Linked DNA regions of Neodiprion lecontei. The protein of the gene in region 1 purifies or fractionates together with the protein of each later gene. This does not show direct contact. Links are inferred from orthologs where the notes say so. Each region holds a gene or a part of one and is shown on either strand. Other genes may lie near its edges.

Region 1 (5,697 bases):
TTTACATCTATAGATAGATATTTCTCATTTCTATTAATTCCCTTCTCTTTTGCTCGTCACTTTACTCGTTTCATCTATTCTCCAGTCTCTTTCGTCTACTTTCTCATAGCTATTGCTCTACCTTAGATTTACGTACATATTTATACAATCGATCTCTGTTTCTTCTCGCATATTGTTAACGATCGCAGAATTGTTTTACGCTCATAGTGGTTTGGTTCGTCACTCTTGACAGTGTTTTGCATCGTCTTTTATCGATATTATTACCTATTGCTTTACCGCACTTTGCCGCATTTATACTTCCGCTCAAATTCATATACTTCTTTTTATTTTTCACCTCTTCGTCTCCTTCGTTTTCTTCTTCTTCTTGTCCGTCGAGCCCAAGAGAAGTACATTATCCTCCATCTCGTTGATCAGAAATACATTTTTTAGAACGCTATGTAGCTAGGCTATGACATTCGCGATTGTCGTCACTGGTATTTGTCAATATCTTTATTTTTCTTGTGGTTTCGAGTTGAACTTTGGCAACAAAGTATCAATTATCCGCTTCAATCGTGTCCATCATTTATCACAAGTAGGTATCTTTTTTTTTTTTTTTCATTCCTTCTCTACTCTCAAATATCACCCTCTCGTTCTGCAGTCGAATTTTTATCCGCTTTAGTTGATACTCGGTTAATTTACTCGTAGTGATTATCATCGACAGTTCTTCAAATTTCTTATCATCTGCCTTTTGACTGCTGCTTGTTATCGTTACCGATGTCTGTTTTCTCACCTCTGCCACCGACTGCCGCACTTGCAGCAGCACTAGCAGCAGCACCAGCAGCAGCGCTCTCCGCATTCTCTATATCCATATCAATGTAACACATCGTCTTAGGCTCTATCGGCTGACTATCGTTTGTGTGGCACGGGGTATCGTAGCAGGGTGTGGCGCTGGGCGCGTAAACATTTTCTAACTGCTCATATTGGCTGAGTGACTCCGTGCTGATTTGACTCATCTCCGACATGTTCCCTCCCTCCTTCTTAGAATCCTTTGGAAATAAATCCCTTTCAAAATCTCTGCGTTCACTTTGCGCCATCGAGCTTGGTGTCGGTTCACCTGCGGTCTCGGGAGTCAGGGGTGCCTTTGTAAAAAGCTGAATCGGCCGCTGGAAGCCCTTGGAAGGATGTGGCGGTATGGAAACTACCTCGCATTTACTGAAACCGACCTCCGGTGACAGCAAATACTGTGTAAACTTGTGCGGTAAGAACTCGATGCTGTGATAATTCTTGTATATCCGTTCCTGAAAGCATAACCAGAAGTATATGATCAATTTTCTTAATAACGAAAAAACTGCGCCGTCCAGATATAACGATCACGATTACTTACAGTGAGATTCTTCTTCTTTCCATAGCTGCCCCAACTCTGAGGCTCGAGTACAAGTACACCGCCGGGTCTCAGCTGGGCGTGCATTCTTTTGAAAGCTCTCTGCAGTCCCAAGTCGCCGAAATTTAAGTGCAGCCACTTTGTTATTGACAGGCATAATATAGCGTCGAACTGCGGCTGTTCCGAAGCCAGCAGCGCGTCGTCTTCCAATATATAGTTACCCTGAAAAATGGTAGAGAAAAAATCGTTACAGGACGCTTTTTTGGAATGACAGCGAGTTTTTGCAGATGTAAATGAAATCGCTGCTTACCTGTACAAAGGTGACGTTGTATGGGAAGCCTTTTTGACTTTTGTTCTTTGTAAAACCAGGTATATCGATAAGTCCGTAGCTGATTGGCATCGATAGGGGATAAAAGCTCGCGTCGCAGTCTTTTCCTTTCCCTCCGTCTTCGTGAGTCGCCGGTGATCTGACACAGTTCACATAATGCTTGACATTCTTCCTCGCTATGTTAATCAGCTTCCTGTCGATGTCTATTCCAGTCACGCTACGTGCGGCAAAATCACGGGCGATCGACAATGTAATGTGTCCAATGTTGCATCCTATGTCCAGCACGTCCTTCCCGTAGAATAACTCTTTTCTTCTGGCGAACACGCCGAGTCTTCCATCTTCTTCGGCATGGGCATTTCGATATCCGTAATACCTAGAAATAAAATTAATTTACCAAATGAGTCCTTGATTCTTTAATCATTTTGTAATAAACTCAAAAAAGTAGATATTTGAAAAATGTTTAATACTAAGAGAATTATAACTTTACTTAATTAAACAAATACCTGTTATAGTTGCCGTATTGATACTGCGCATCCTTGGCTCTAAAGTTGGGCAATTTTTGTGCCTTTTTCTTTTTGTCTTGACTAGCACGATGCTGCGGTCTCGGTTTCCAAGCCCCAGGTTGTGGGATAACAGGACTGACAATTTTATCCTTAACGTCCACCTTACGCAGTCGTTTGTCTTTCAGATCGTCGAGCCCCTTGAGGCGTAACTTGTTCTTATCTTTCTGAGGACTAGTAGTTTCTGGTTTAGTTTCCACTACTGGAGGATTACTAGGCGGAGAACTCAGAGGTGCAGGGGCAAGCTTAATTTCGACCTTCTCTTCAACGCCAGCAGGCACAGGTTCGGCATTTTCTACCGATTCCTTTTCGCTGTTCTTTGCTTCCGAAGCTGGTTCAATAGCATCGTCCCTTCCAGAGCTGGACGATGCGCGTTTGCGTTTTCTGTTTCGTCTCTTGGAGCCCTTTTTTGTGGGGGAAATTAGATGTTTCTCGTACTCATCATCGTCATTACAATTGTTCAGATTCAGAGGGTCGCATATGTTAGGCGGAATGATAACTTCGATGGCGCCTTTCCTATGTTTCGGCGTCGGCAGAGGACTCGACTTCGGAGTAACTGCATTCATCGCTCTGTTTATCTCCTCGTCTTGCATGCTGTTCAGATTCAACGGATCGCAGATGTTACCGCCGAGCAAAAACTTTGTCGGCGGAATAATACCTCCGTCTTTCTTACGCCGTTTATGAGGTGGGAAAAATTTTCCATTCCCTGTAAAACTCTGCGAACGTTTTCTGCTGAACTTAAAATGACGACTTTCCTCGTGCTTGTGCTTCTTGTAAACCAGGTTGACAGATTTTTTACCCTTCTCGTTCTCCTTCCTTTCTTTCACACTCCCCATCCTCATTTGACGATCAAGTTGAGCTGATGACATTTCGCTAATTCTGATTCACTGGACTGAAATAAAAAAATTAAATATAAAATTTGTTAGAAATTGTATTTGCGCCTGATGCTGAATACTTGAATCAGAACAAAAGGCACGAATGCACTAGGCAAGCAGTCGACTCGTATAGATATAAATGTGGCATGGATAAAATAATGTGTGAAATTGAACAACAGGACGTTCTTATTTTAATTAATTAGTAAAATATAAGGTTTTAAGTACGACTGGTGTTAATTGTTTAATATCAGTTAAAATGACAAAGAGATTGGGTCTTAGAGATGGGAGGATACGGCGGGTGAATTGATGCATGAAAATTCGAGGAAAATTCGGAATGACAGGTATGTGAGGTGGAAATATATCCAGTCGAATAATTAAACGTTAGCCAAACGTATTGCGCGTAAATTTATCATTCCCGCAACGGCGCATGCGCAATGGGTAGTTTACGTGCCCCGATAATGGTTCAGCTCCCGTGAAGTCTGCAATTTAATATAATGTTTTGACAATTTTGTGGCTAATAGCCCGTTAAACATTACCTCTCAACTGCTCGCGGCTATTTTCTTCCTCGATTCGGTCCACTTTCGACAGTCATTAAGCACACAAATACGCTCTATTCTTCGCTGCAGCGACCCGCCCGTTTCACGACGCCTGCCATACAACCATCAACGATGGCGAATGCCTCCTTTGCTCACTCTGTTCAATCTCCATTTTCCATGTGGGCTGCTGCCTGCCGAGCCGAACCGACTTCGGTTAACTTCGGGCGACATTGCGCAACACGAAAAAAAAGGAGCGGTATTTCGCGGTTTCCCGCCCAGCGTTGAAGCAGCTTGGCCATTGGCCCTTGCCGCTGTATACGGTGATCTGATTGGCCGGATATTTGTAATCTTCCGCGGCTGCTGTTCAATTGTTTTTCAAACAGATATTCACTTCGGATTATGTTCTGCGAACTCACTTGCGAGTCATCCGATCTTTTGGCACTCGTTACCTTAATTCCGTTTCGTTCTTATCATTTCCAACTCAGGCCTGTTCTCACCTTACAATCTGCTTACTTAAGGTAAGTCCTGATCATTTCCGTATACGTGATGAGAAGTAATTAAAGAACTGGTAGCTTGCGTTAATTTCTGAATTGTTGTCCCGTTGTCTCGAAAGAGGAACGTGGAAAAAAAAAAATATCTGAAAAAAATTGTTGGTACCACGGACTCGTATTTATTACAATACCGATTATCATTTTCTTTTTACTCAGTGGTGATTGACGATTCAGTAATAATTAGCATTTCCCATTTGTCTGAGTCTCAGATATTAATCATTGGCAAGGCCAATGCGTGATTTACTCGTGATAAAAGGGACGATGTGAAGAGAGCCGCGATAATGACGGTTTAAAATTTTTAATCGTCACTCGCGAGATTTTTTTGTTTCGTTACGTTTGCATACCAGCTTCACATTTCGGAGATTTCGGATAACGAAGTAAGTATACAGATATGAATCTATCTTCGGATGAATTATGTATATCTCCATGACATTATGCGTTGAAGAGCTTATTGTACGCCCAATGTGAAAAAGTACAAAATAAAATGGCGGAAAGGAAGAAGAAGGCAGCGAGAGCGTTGATATTCAATTCCGAACCAGCGAAGAACGGAGTCGAAATGATAGGAAGTGATCGTAAAATACAGGGTAAAATAATTTCGAAAGAATTGAAATGTTTCGATACGGTTACCAGCGTCTTTCACGACTTCACCGAGGTCGAGAAAAAAAGTATCAAGGTGAGAAACGCAGTCACATTGTGATTATCATTCTTTAATTCGTTTACGCAGATAATGATTTGTAACCAATGCGCAATATTATTTCAGGTATCAAGTACTAATCAACAACGATTCGACATCAAGGTGAACAACCAGCGGACGAACCCTGCAGCCAGGGTTTTGGTCTACGAGGATTGCGAGGATGACGAGGATGTGAATGAAAATGGTCGAGCCACGCCACCGAATATTCAGGAAAGATGCGCCTCGACGCCAGGAGCACCGATCAAGTCTCGCAAGGAATTCGACAAGAAGGTGTTGAGGCCAAAGAAGCTTGTTTACTACAGCGACAGGGAGAACGAGGAGAATTACTACCTCGTTACGCCGAAGAAGTCGGTTCAAAACCAGGACAAATATACGCGGGGAAAATTAATAGACGGTGCCGTGATGCCGAGAAAAATTCTCAACATCCCTACAGACGAAGCAAACCTTTCCACAGTGATTCGGCAGAGCTTCGCTGCTGGAATGGGTCAGGGATATAAAAAGAAGAACCGTAACAAAGCAGGAAACGTACTGAAGAACGATTTGACGTATGATAAGGAAAACAAAGCGGATCTAGCGGCGGAAAATGATCAGGAAACTAGAAAAGACCTATGCTGGAGCTATTCCTTCAAGAATTATGATCGAAGCGGCACGTGCCAAGGTAACCGGGAAGAATTGACCAATCCGTCGAAGCCGGGAGAATTCACTCACTTCAGAATATAGTTAATTTATTCGTACATAGTCCGTGATCGATTGTTTATTGTTAAATAATATAGTATAATATAATTGATAACTA
Region 2 (6,406 bases), on another chromosome or scaffold:
CTCTCGGCTGTGGTCCGCAGGAAGAATTTAGGGCTTGTGCGGACATTTCAATTAGTAACTAATAATCAATCTTCACTTTTCCCTCAATTTATATCTGCGAGGTCAACTGAGATTTCTGCTACTAAAGAACATTCAGCATCTTATAATGAGTTACCTTTACTTGAAAACATCATAATATCGACGGGAATTTTAGGCGATGGATGTTTCCTCACTTGGTGCATGATTTTTAGTTTATCAGATAGCATTAAAAACTGTAAAAAACCGACAGGCACGAGCCTGTGAATATAATAAATATTTATATGCATAGACTAGCAAAACTGTTAGACATAGCCACATGCTTTCGTGGATTTTGATCGACGCCACCTTGTGTAAACAAGTCCCGTTAATTATAATTTTTATCTTTTTCTCACGCTATGATGATTGTAATCACTGAAATGTTAAGAATATAATATCAACACTTCAAGGGACAGATTCTTGACGAGAAGGTTCAAAATAACTGCAGCAGCGCATCGCGTCAAATTATTTTTTATTCTTAAGTAGCAGATTTCTAAAATCTGCATTACTCAGTGATTCCTTGCCAACAACGTTACCTGATATTCCTGCATCGCCATTTTTAGACAGAGGTTTCACACTGCGTGGTATCATAGAAAGCATAGTTTTTGGCGCATTGGAACCAGTTCGGCTTGTGGTTGTTCCACCAAGAGATTTAATAAGACTAACGTCATTGATCGATCCCTTTTTGCGTTCAGGAGGCTGACTGACAGCAACACTGATTACTTTGTCTTCTATGGTCATTCCATCAGTAGCTATCAGTGCTTTGCTCGCGTCAACTTCGCTTTTAAAATCAATGTAAGCAATACCTTTAGAGTGCCCATTGCGATACGTTACAAGGCGAACTTCCTTTAGGATACCATGAGCACCGAAGAGTTCTTCAATTTGCTCCTTTGTCATCGTCAAAGGAAGACCTTTGGGTAAAAGAAGTTGAGGTAATTGCTGTTCCATAAGCAAATGTTCGAAAAATACATTTTGAACATATTTCATAATGCGACTTAACATATTTTGTTCCACCTTTTCCGTAATTTTCAATTTCAGCAGAAACGTGATGGGTTTCCAAGAAATGTATGCAACTTGACTTTCTTTTTCACAACACAATCTGTTGACTTTAAGACTTCTAAATTGGGAAGACAAGAGTTGACAGTAACATGTTACCTTTTACAAAGAGTTTGTTCTTTTCCAATCCACAGCTATACTTGAATGCTGGTCCTCTGGTTGTTTTATCAGGATCGCATCGAGAAACAAACATGGGTCGGCCGTTAATTGGTGTTCTATCTAACTTAAGTGCCAATTCAACACTATCCTGTAACAAAAAATTATGACTGCAAATTTTTGACCAGTAGTTTTACTTTCATCATGTATGAAAATTAGGTCATCTTTGTCAACCTATCGTGCAGGTAATGAATTAAATACTCACTGCACTGCTAAGCTGCACGTAACAGAACCCTTTACTGCGACCTTTGAAATCTTGTACCATTTTAAAAAGAGTAATTGGTCCTGCAGGTTCTAAGGCGTTTCTTACTTCATCTTCCGTTGCATTGTAGTCCAAGTTGCTAACAAAAACGGTTATTCTCTCATCAACGGTGCGCGAGTTATCTTCATCCATCTTTTCAACTTCTTTTGACTTATATCCTGGCGGTGGTGCAAGTTTCGGCTTGGTGCTGGATTCGTCTTTGGATGGCTTATAGCCAGGTGGTGGTGTTATTTTATTCTCCACACTTAGAACGCTTTCCTTCAGCTTTGGCCTCGTAGTTGCTTCAAACTTTCCTTGCTTATTCGGAGATCCTTGCAAGTTTTTCCATCTACCTGTATCTTCAGGTTTTCTTTTGCCTGCCCGTTTGGCTGGTGCAGACGTAACTTCATGTGGCAAAGCAGCAGCTTGCACCTTCTTTCGCTCTTCGACAACCATTTCTAATTTCTCTTTTGTTTTCGCCTCACAGGATTCTAACTGTTCCAATGTCCCTTCATCCCGCTCAAAATCTAACCAAGCATTGATTATGCTCTCTGGCCAATCTTTGACAGATCCCAGTGCTTTTTGGTACAATTTACGAAGATGCTTTGTATCTCCGTAACACCTGGAACATTGAATAAAAATGGAATCATTGATTATTTTAGATTACATTTTAGAACAAATTGAATACAGTAACTTTTGTATACTTGGTATAAGCTGGACTATTATTTTTAATCGCATCTGAGATAATGACGTTCTAGATCTTCTAGATGTTCCCGTAAAGAGTTTTGAAATATGATATATTACTTATCAAATCATTAAGTACCTTTCCAAACCAATATATTCCAACCAACTGGCAGCAGCTGTGGAATGTCCTTGAGAGAGTATATCAGCCCACAAGGTTCTAGCCTTTTCCATGTCATTTGCATGAATTGCTTCGGTTCTGGCCCAGTACTGCAATACCACACATCCGGGATCGCCCTCCAGACCGAATGCTTTTGCCAAATATTCACAAGCGCGATTGAATGTTTCTCTGATAATTTCCAAGAGTTTTTTCTTGTCATCTGGGAATAGATCAATCCTGCGACGTAGATACTCAAGGTAAGTCAGCCACATACTGCGATATTCTTCAGCAGATGTGAAACCAGCCATTAAACCTTTCTCCAGTAATGCCTGCACTTCGGTTAATGGTTTATCCCATCTTTCATAGGCTCTTAACCATTTTTGCCAAATTACTACGTACCATGGTACATTTCTAGTAGCTCTTTCGTACAGTGGTTCCAAAATGGATTGGATTTTTATATTATTTTCCATGTATGTAATATATTCCAGCCACAGCGAACCTTCCAAACTAAGCTCAGCTATGGCTCGTTCGTAAAGTATATTGACACGTGCTGGATCTCCGTGTTGTTTTTCAAAACGTAGATATGCTTTAAAGGCATCTAATAATTCAGGCTCACCTTGAGCTGAAATAAGTTTTTCTTCAAAAGGTAAACGCAAGTTCAGTTTTGCGAACGCTCGTTCATAGCCAGTTAAAACAACATTGTCGTCTAGGGTTGCTTGTGTTCCGTCGCCAGCGCGCCACACTTCATATTCTTCATACGTTTTCTCCATGTCAAGTAGAGGACATGTTAACTGACGTCTGAATAAAGAGCCAACGCGATTTATCTGTTCTTTGCGCTCCGACTCGTTAGATGCGTCGATCTGAAAATATAAATGATTGTTCAGACTTGTTGTGAAATAATAATCATGCTACAAAATTTGATTTAAATTAAAAGTATTGATAGATTTTGATTATTGTGTTTGATGATAGTCTTACCATTAAAACTAACACATTTTCAAATTCTCTAAATGCTTCCCATATGATCGCGCCTTTGGTAACGTGCAAGCCAACGCAGGTTAATCCCTGTTCAAACAAATTTCTAATATCTGTAGCAGCGTCAGTAGCAGTACCCAAACTTCCTATAGCGAACTGAAGATATTCCAACCAAACTTCCACAGCTGTAATAAATTGAAATATTGGATCATGACATATTATGTCTCTCATCTATAATGAAAATTAGTTAGTTTTCGATTGAGCTACACAAGTTTTCATATATTCTTACAATTTCATTATAATCTAAATAGAAAATATTTTTTCAACAATTACAGGTTGTTCAAAGAGTTGATTTTTCCCTTATAAAAAAAAAAAACTATAAATAAAAGAGCAAAAAAGTTGTAATGCACCTAGCCATTGCAAAAAAATTTGTGTGTTCTATAGATTGTGACAGGATAATGTGAACAGTGCCTACGGTATGAATGAAACAATTGCCTTTGTTCTCTGCACTTTTATGATTACATGAATAATGTGAAAAATTTAGGAGAAAAAGGAATTCTAAAGGATAATAAAGGTGAAATACAAAAAACAAATGGAACGTACAAAGATAGTCTTTTACTGCTCGCTCGCACAACTTTGTGACCGCCTCTCGTTCAGCGCTGGTTTTAACCGAGCCGATTTCATCTCGCAACCAGGAAAGCCATAGTTCAGAGCTAAGAGGATACTTGGAGCTCATAGCTTCTCTGGCACTTTTCAGTTGATCTGAATATTTCTCGCCCATCTCTTGCAATTTTGTTATCAAAGCAACATGGCTAGAATAATCATAGGGACTTTCTTCCAGCTTAGCATTCAAGAGTTTGATTTCTGCTTCGTTAGCCTCTTCGTCATCAGAATCGCTGTCGTCGTCAATATCATTGTCATCCATTCCTAATTCTTTTTCAAAATCTGCTTCGTCTTCTATCATATTGTAGTTGGAATTATCAAGATTATTACCCTGTTCTCCATCAGAGTCCAAAAGGAAATCGCTGTCATTTTTCTCGTCCTCGCCAGGATGTTCCAACTCCATTTCATCCATTGTTAGTTATTTACGCGAGTATTATGTACGATGTCTTTCGATATCAAACCCTATACGGCTAATGATCCAATGTTATGAAAATGACCGATCTTCTATTTGCTTCGTAGAATAACATTTAGGACACGGTCAGGATCTCAGGGTGTCAAACATTGAAGGTTATGTTTTTATACATCCCGAAATTACAACGTATAAATGAGTAACATCTGCGCAGACGTCGATTGCGCATTACCGCGCGATTACCCACAAGTCGCTTCGAAGGGTTATTTCAAAAACGATTGTGAAAGTTAGATTTAATTATAATGATTATAATGAAATCACAGCGAGATTACAAAGTGGATCTTGTTTTCAGCAGAAATTTGGAAATTGCGGTATTAGGACTGATAGAATTACAGAAAGAAAGCTTCCGCATTATTTTAAATAATCCTGACGGATTGTCATACCGATTTGTAACTTATAAAGCTTTTCAACAATCTCACGATTCAAACAATCCTTCGTAATTATCCAAAAAATATTACTGATAATTCTTTAGCACCTTGTGTGTAAAGGCCAAGCAATCAAACAGGCTGTAAGATAGTTGGTAATACATATTGTGAACAACTATTCCTTCATTATAGGGAAGCTTTCGCAAATTTCGTACAAGCTTTTGTTGCTCTCACACACGACTTACTGATGCGATGCTATAACCAATAATGCATCACAAAAAATCATCTACTTTGTACCAAGAATTTTCCTTACACACGAGTAAATTTTATATCAGTTTTTGTATGTATTTATAGTAAACTTTTCCTATCGTTTGTCTCTACGCGAAATAAATATACATCTGCATACGTATTGGTATTGAAACTTTGAGTGTTATTCCCCTTACATATGATCATATAGGTACGGCTTTTGCAGAGGAGAAAAAAGGTCAGGGGACCGGTTTCTAAACTTTTTTTAAGTAACGTGCGTCAGACTTAACGCTCCTTAGCCCAGAGTCACATTTACAGTATTTTGCGTACGGTGAAGTTGCCCACGCTTTATGTTACTACATTATTATACAGAAAGAATGTTCAACAGCAATTGTTGGTCTCAGCCGTTGTACACATAATCACATGTGTATGAATATCCATATGCATACTTCTAATGTGGTACTTCTCCAATTAGTCTAGTAATCTATGAAGTCATGTGTGAGGCAATAAGAATAAGGAAACGCGATTACGTGCACGATTTCAGCTTTTCTTTTTGTGTTTTCGCATATATCTACATAGGGCAATGCAGATATTACGTCGCAATGCATGTTCAAGTTCTCTATATTTACTCTCATCCGTGACGACTTGAAACCAATATATGCATAAACAAAATCGTCATTATGGATGATTTAAACTATAGTGAATAGCTATAAAATGGAAACACAAAGAAACAGGACCATTATAATGAGTAATAATAGTGCGTTCGATATTTACATCTGCTTGCCCGATTACCTCGAAACACGACGCTTCTTCTTTTTCCTCGCGACGCGTTTAGGGGCGTTTTTTTCTCTTCCGGCGACGCGTTTCGAGGTGATCGAGTAATCAGACGTAAACATCGAACTCAGCTTGAATTTTTTATGTACAATTTTTCATATTTTACGACAAATTTGTTTTCAGAATATCGGCAAATATATGCAGTTGTAACCTGTTTCACATTAGACCGGAATTTGTAATCGAAATGAAATTACGACGTTTTAAACTGTCATATTCGTGATGGATTTTTATAATTATCCATTCATCTTACAAATGAAACATGTGAATTAATTTTGGGCATGAATTATTAGATCTCCAAAGTCCAGATTTTCCGTAAACTCTTTCTTCAACGACCAGAAAAACATTTCCAACAAAATGAGCAGTTTGTACACGTCAATTGGATAGAAGACAGGTTCTTATGACAATAAGACGGGGAACCCCCCCCCCCCCCATAATACCGGGAGGACTGGACCAATGTGTCTGCTTTCAGAGTTACTCGATACAAGTATAAATTGAGAAATCCTTATACG
Region 3 (5,938 bases), on another chromosome or scaffold:
TAACTACGTCAATACATCTTTTGCAGTCGTAGACATTATTTTGCAATCATTAATTTTAGCTACGGCGTTTTAGATACCGTATTTCAAAGCTTATTGCAATAATAAAAAGATAAGAACTTTGAGACAAGCGAGATGAGAAGTGGTGATTTTTAGAGTAATCAAATAATGTAGCATGAAGTCTTCGAATATCAAATATTACGTATAAATGTAACTACAATATATGACTAAGTAGCATACTCGTATAAATTGAAATATACATATTCGATTTCAAGTCATGTGGTAATCGTAGAACTTTTAATGCTGTGGTTCATTACTGTACTACTATATCGTTTGACTTTTCGTTTGTTGATAATCATGAATAAAATAAAGGGAAGTTGCATTGTTTGGAAATACTACAAAGCTCTCCTAGAGCATGCCACTAATTAGCAATTACTTAGTTATATCATTCTTGAGCTTTTCAAATTTTTTCTGAATTTGAATTGAAAACTGGTCATTTTTTCATTATACAAATCATTCGACAAGTATCTCCATAAAATTGAACGTCAAAGTGAATGTAAAATACGCGTTTAAATCATCCGTCTTGAACTAACATCAAATAATCAATTGCGTCGTGAAAATTACGAAAATGAATCGTATACAGCAGTTTGTAATATCACTACTTTAATATTTGAAGTAATACAAGTACTGGGTTAGCAAAACATAAAAAATTGAGGTAATTATGTTTTTCGTCAGAATAATGCCAAAATGAGAAGAAACTTTCTTCACTCGTTAATTTGTTTTTGTTGGTTTTTTTTTTTTTTTTTCTCTTAGTATCTAGTGTAATATTATTCTCGCACTCGTTAGGAAGATTGAACAATGATAAAAACTGTTAGTCGGTAAGGATAAACATTAAATACCTGATATACATATATTATCTGTTATGTAATTTGGTAAAAATCATCACGTGAATAAAACCATTTTATATGAAATGCGTGTTTGCTCTCGCTCGTTGAAATATGAGCAAAATGAATACAACATTTTTTAATGTTTGTTTGAAATAATCAATAAATTTCTCACATTCTACTACACATTTGATGTTGTTTTTTTTGTAGATTAGTATTTACGAATACTAATCTACAAAATTTTTTTTTATTTTTTTTAGTAGAATAGTAGTTACGAATAGATCAGATAGCAGGGCAGACAAGCAACTACGTTCGTTACAAACTAATAACTTAAGTTTTATTATGTCCGTTCACAGTATCCATGTAATAATTACAATGGTTCTGTCATATCTTCAAAACTCATTGATACGTTAAACGATCTTACGTCTTATCCTTTTTCAGTTTGACTCGTCGCTTTCTTTGTTTATTTTTAACTGAACTTTGAGCTTTTATGAACTCCCTTACGTTTAACTTATTTATAAAATACTGTCGTAACGTTTCCAATGCATTTCTACCTCCAGAACCACTTTCAAATATCATTGATATTTTCAATTTCTTTTCGTTATCATTAGGTTCGATCTCCCCCACAACCAAATCGCAAATTAAAAACGATCCTTTGACGGGCTGAGTATTCACACCATTTGGCAACGCTGTAGTCTTTTCTTCTCTTTCAGAATCATCTCCGAAAGATGCATCCAAGGCTTCTTGTTTCTCAGAATCATTCTCAGAAAATATATCTGGGCAAGGCCTTTTAGATGGTAAACTTTGATTAGCCATCATTCGACGCTTTCTGCGTCCATGTGACCATGTGTCCTCATCAGCCATCAATTGGCAACACCAATAACTCGATTCTTGCGGATTCACATGTAATTCTTCAACTCGGATCTGTTCAATACAATTTTAGTGTCAATATCTACCAGTTAATTTGTTTGCCAACATTAAAAGAAAGATACATGATCTCGTTACCTTCAACTCATTGAATAAAAGTCTCAGTATTAAAACTAATTCCTTAGTCTCTGTCATGCCATCTCTTACAGGGAAAGTTATTTCTGACGGAGGTCGTTTAGCTTTCTGTTTTAATTTTTTGCTGCATCCGCTAATTCTTATGACTGGTGCAGTTGTCAAGTCCAGCACATCTTTTGACAGAAAAGTCCAAGCTAGACCCCATCTAATAAAATAAATTTGATAATTTATGTCATGATATTGTATTCTAAAAATTGACATCTTAACCAAGAACTTTGATAATTTAACACATGTAATTGCTTTACCTAGTTGTATGACCCTGACAAAATTCAGTCCATGTAGAGTTTTCGATATTTCGTTTCTTGAATTCATTGCACAAAAATGTAAGACTAGTCTTTTTACCAAGCATAGTTGTATAGATCTTTATTTTATTGTTCAGCTCGACACTATCGTTCAACATTTTCAAAACAAATTGTATTTCCCCGCCTTCTACGACCAATTCAGCTTCGCTCCCAGATGGTGCGTTTCGCGGGGGCATTCGGGAACCTGAAGGTTTTGATCCAGTGGCCGTGTCCTCTTCGGCACAAAAGAATGGCGGATTGCACATTGTGAATGTATATACATTGTTCTCAGGTACTGACCCTCTGAGTACCGTACCTCTGTTTACACGTATCACTGATGAGATAGACAAAGAGTTTTATATTCATTTAAAGAAGGAATCTGTAGCTAGAAAAATCATTAACAATTACAGAGCATGATGGGAATTATTGTTACAGTAACAGCGTTGAGCCATTTAGACTCTACTTACCTTCAACGAGGTCATGCAAGTTGTTGCTATTTACATTACGCACCGCAGACTCGTAACTTTCCAAATCAACTTCCGTGCCGATCATTCTACATCCATAGATCTTTGCAAATAACAATGGATAGACGCACACCGCTCCAGTGCCTTTGAAGAGAGTTAAATTAAAAGTATATCAACAGCACTACATAAAATTGAAACTCAATTTCAGGTGAATCAATTATACCTATGTCAATGCCAGAAATCAAAGACATGTCTGTAATACCGGCGTGCTTTGCTAAATCCTCTATCCAGAGTACGTAATTCAAACGCAGAGGTACGGCTGGGACCAGCTTTGTGGCTGGTAGATCTACGTTCAAATCATAATCATGTTTTAGAAGGGTTTTGGTCAGTATTCTCAAGGTTTCTAGATCATGGAAATTAATCCGCACCTTTCCCGCGAGATCCTGAAATGTAATAAAATCTATGCAACATAACAGAAATGCGAATTCAAACTGAGGAATCAGGTGCAACAGAAAATAATCGATCGCGTGTGTAGTGTCTTGCGGGAATCGAGTGATTAGACATGTCATAGGCACATGCGAGCACTGTGATGTTTCAATGTGATATACTGTTTTTACCGTTGTCGCAATTTTACGAAACTCCGGATAAAGTATGGCTAGTTGCTTGAAATTTGGCTCCTGCTTGTACTTGTTCCTCGGATGCATGAACCGTCGCAAAGACATTTTTTTGTTCGACGCAACTGGATTTATAGGTTATATCAACGTTTCCTGACATGTGATTCCGCACGCTGCAGGTTTTGAAACAAGCCATTACACAAGGTTTAAAATTCGCAAGACATACAGTGACGTGCTTCTCGACTACCGGCTTCGCTTGAATGATTGAAAAAAAACTAGTGTAAAAATTCGATTAGACTCTTGACTTGTTGTGTACGGGAAAACTGACGATTAACACTGAACTGTTACCTAGTAGGTCCGTGACACATTCCTCGCTTCCACAGGTCTTCGTATGCCTTATAATCCTGCGTTTTGTCTTTATATGGACTCAGATTCCATACTTTCTTACTGAAGCCATTTAAAGCCGACAGCACAAACACAAATACGCAGCTGCCGAGGTACGAACGAATTTCGAGTCGCACTCGTGACAAATTCCTGACAATGAACATGTATTCTTCAATAGTGTATTTCAAAATCAACTTTTTTCGTCTTGGTCCGCCCTGAAGTAACGCAAGCCAGATGAAAATTTAGCTTTAAATTAAGTAAAAAATGTTTTCAAAACATTAAAACCAGACGAATTCAAACACAAGATACAAGATGGCCACCGATGCCGGTGCCTGCAATTTTATTTCGGCTGTATGATCAATTTTCAGAATTTAAAGGCTAATTAGTACTGACTCTCCTCAAATGAAATGATGGCAAAATAATGGAATGTAATGGAGCCATCATTTAATTTTTGATGAGAGCTCAGAAACTGAGAATTTAGCTGTCTTGCCCACTCCTTCATTCATCGCGCATCTCACCAATCACAATACCGCATTTGTACCACCTGATAATGCGTGCTATGGTGCGTGCCAAAGTACGATATGCGTATGTGTGTGTGTGTGTGTGTGTGTACTACATGCGTACTATGGTCATTCTTGATTACAGCCGCTAGTTGACTTGATTCAACAATCCTAGTTTCATTCTCTTCCGCAGAGGCGAACGTATCACAATCCCACGATAGGCTTCGGCGCGAGCCGACAGTGGTAGCGAATATCATACCCATATTCGTGCGTAATATGTGGGCTTGTATGTATGCGAAGGGAGAAGGTTGGAATTCAGATAAAGCAAGGAGTAGTGTCGAGTCACCAGTCAGCCAGTCATTATTCCTCTGCAGTTTTACCAAGTCCCATTCGGTCTTATTGTTAGGCGAGGATGTGATTCTTCCAAGCTACCTGTTGAATCAGCGCTACCGATAAACTATGGCGTATTTGTTGAAAAACTTGACAAACAGCATCTGGCATGCGTTTTACGCTCTGCAAGGTGACACCCCGGGTATCGTTGCGAAATCTAAATTAAAGGTGCGTATGAATTCGAGCGTATCTCACAATGTTGACAAACGCACGCCGTATGACGTGATTAGTAAATATTATAATGCTGAAGCTGTTTACTTAACCGTGAAGTTTCTTAGAACTTTATGTTTGAGGGTGTGGCTTTTTTCACGACACTTTCACATGTCACTTCAGGTGTTGACAGCCAACTTTGGAACCTTGATGGATCTGTATGGGGTTGAGAAGGGGCTCGATGATTACCGAAGCACCCAGTGGCTGACGTTCGATCAATTTTTATATTACTTACAGAATGAAGTAAGTTTTGTCACTATACTTATTCTTATTATTATCGTCATCATTTGTCGGTACAGTCATTTTATCCATCTCAGGTCTTTGCCTCTATTTCTGATGCAACACCAATGCAAACCTGCAGACTTCTTGAAGAACGCATCGAGGAGATATGCTGGCTTGTTTCTCGAAAAGCGTACGCAGATCAGAAACACAGAGTCTTTGAAGATCGCAGCATTTATCAACTCTTCAGAATATTCTGTCTTTTAGCAGAGATGGGAACACATAACGCAGAGTCATCGTATCTCGTAAGTCATCGTAAAAAATTCTACTCCCTTACTTTCCAAACAATCAGATCTTATTCTAAAACCCTTAACACTTTTTAATCTGAGGTTTTTTTACTCGTAATAGATAACCATGCACAGCAACGAGGTAGCTCAAATATCTTCCCAACTCGTGACATCATTGGGTCTTCATTGGGACTCGTCAGACTTTGCCGAATTATCTGCAGCGTTGACTGCATTCAGGTAATTCCTCTTTTGCAAATGTCTGCATGTTATGCGTTTCATAAACGAAGTTGTGTTCTGAATCAAATGCAGAAATACTTGTTCACATTTATCTTGGTTTTAGTTATCGTAAAAAATCACTGTACCTAAAGTTGAAAGACTTTCAGACTGAAAGCAGCAGGATCTCCTTGTCTTATCCATGTAGCATTTAGTTAAACGTATTTCCAAAAAGATTCCCCACATTTCTGGCAGTGTTGGAGTCCAAGTACAGCGGTGGAGGAACTTTGGACACAGCTGCTGTAGCTGAGGCTATAGATGACCTTTACCAGATCTATGTTAATGACGTCATCAAAAAAGTGAGGCACCGCTAAGGCGATCAAGTTCTGAAATATCAATCTTTCAGAGATCCTATAACTAAGTCTTTTAATTT

The links. The genes of interacting proteins can lie anywhere in the genome.
Region 2: the proteins of 7SK snRNA methylphosphate capping enzyme bin3 (region 1) and squamous cell carcinoma antigen recognized by T-cells 3 purify together in Homo sapiens (affinity purification with mass spectrometry; 6 studies listed by BioGRID and IntAct, counting the BioPlex papers as one, with this or other methods). This does not show direct contact. The link is inferred for Neodiprion lecontei from reciprocal best matches to the Homo sapiens genes MEPCE and SART3.
Region 3: the proteins of 7SK snRNA methylphosphate capping enzyme bin3 (region 1) and U6 small nuclear RNA (adenine-(43)-N(6))-methyltransferase purify together in Homo sapiens (affinity purification with mass spectrometry; 3 studies listed by BioGRID). This does not show direct contact. The link is inferred for Neodiprion lecontei from reciprocal best matches to the Homo sapiens genes MEPCE and METTL16.

Annotation. Positions count from the first base shown.
Region 1 is NC_060263.1:3,587,182-3,592,878, reverse strand, and holds 7SK snRNA methylphosphate capping enzyme bin3, read right to left. Parts: upstream 3,834-5,697; 5' UTR 3,660-3,833; intron 3,141-3,659; 5' UTR 3,118-3,140; coding exon 2,192-3,117; intron 2,062-2,191; coding exon 1,671-2,061; intron 1,583-1,670; coding exon 1,364-1,582; intron 1,278-1,363; coding exon 717-1,277; 3' UTR 537-716; downstream 1-536. UniProt on the Homo sapiens protein: S-adenosyl-L-methionine-dependent methyltransferase that adds a methylphosphate cap at the 5'-end of 7SK snRNA (7SK RNA), leading to stabilize it.
Region 2 is NC_060262.1:27,133,197-27,139,602, forward strand, and holds squamous cell carcinoma antigen recognized by T-cells 3, read right to left. Parts: upstream 4,584-6,406; 5' UTR 4,396-4,583; coding exon 3,924-4,395; intron 3,506-3,923; coding exon 3,324-3,505; intron 3,209-3,323; coding exon 2,331-3,208; intron 2,130-2,330; coding exon 1,472-2,129; intron 1,358-1,471; coding exon 1,210-1,357; intron 966-1,209; coding exon 520-965; 3' UTR 510-519; downstream 1-509. Other genes in the region: uncharacterized protein LOC107219862, read left to right, coding at 1-62. UniProt on the Homo sapiens protein: U6 snRNP-binding protein that functions as a recycling factor of the splicing machinery. Promotes the initial reassembly of U4 and U6 snRNPs following their ejection from the spliceosome during its maturation.
Region 3 is NC_060264.1:4,387,250-4,393,187, reverse strand, and holds U6 small nuclear RNA (adenine-(43)-N(6))-methyltransferase, read right to left. Parts: upstream 4,129-5,938; 5' UTR 3,651-4,128; intron 3,644-3,650; exon of another isoform or gene 3,476-3,643; 5' UTR 3,411-3,475; coding exon 3,306-3,410; intron 3,132-3,305; coding exon 2,912-3,131; intron 2,833-2,911; coding exon 2,692-2,832; intron 2,559-2,691; coding exon 2,189-2,558; intron 2,089-2,188; coding exon 1,887-2,088; intron 1,806-1,886; coding exon 1,302-1,805; 3' UTR 510-1,301; downstream 1-509. Other genes in the region: switch-associated protein 70, read left to right, coding at 4,646-4,744, 4,910-5,029, 5,104-5,310, 5,414-5,529, 5,741-5,864. UniProt on the Homo sapiens protein: RNA N6-methyltransferase that methylates adenosine residues at the N(6) position of a subset of RNAs and is involved in S-adenosyl-L-methionine homeostasis by regulating expression of MAT2A transcripts.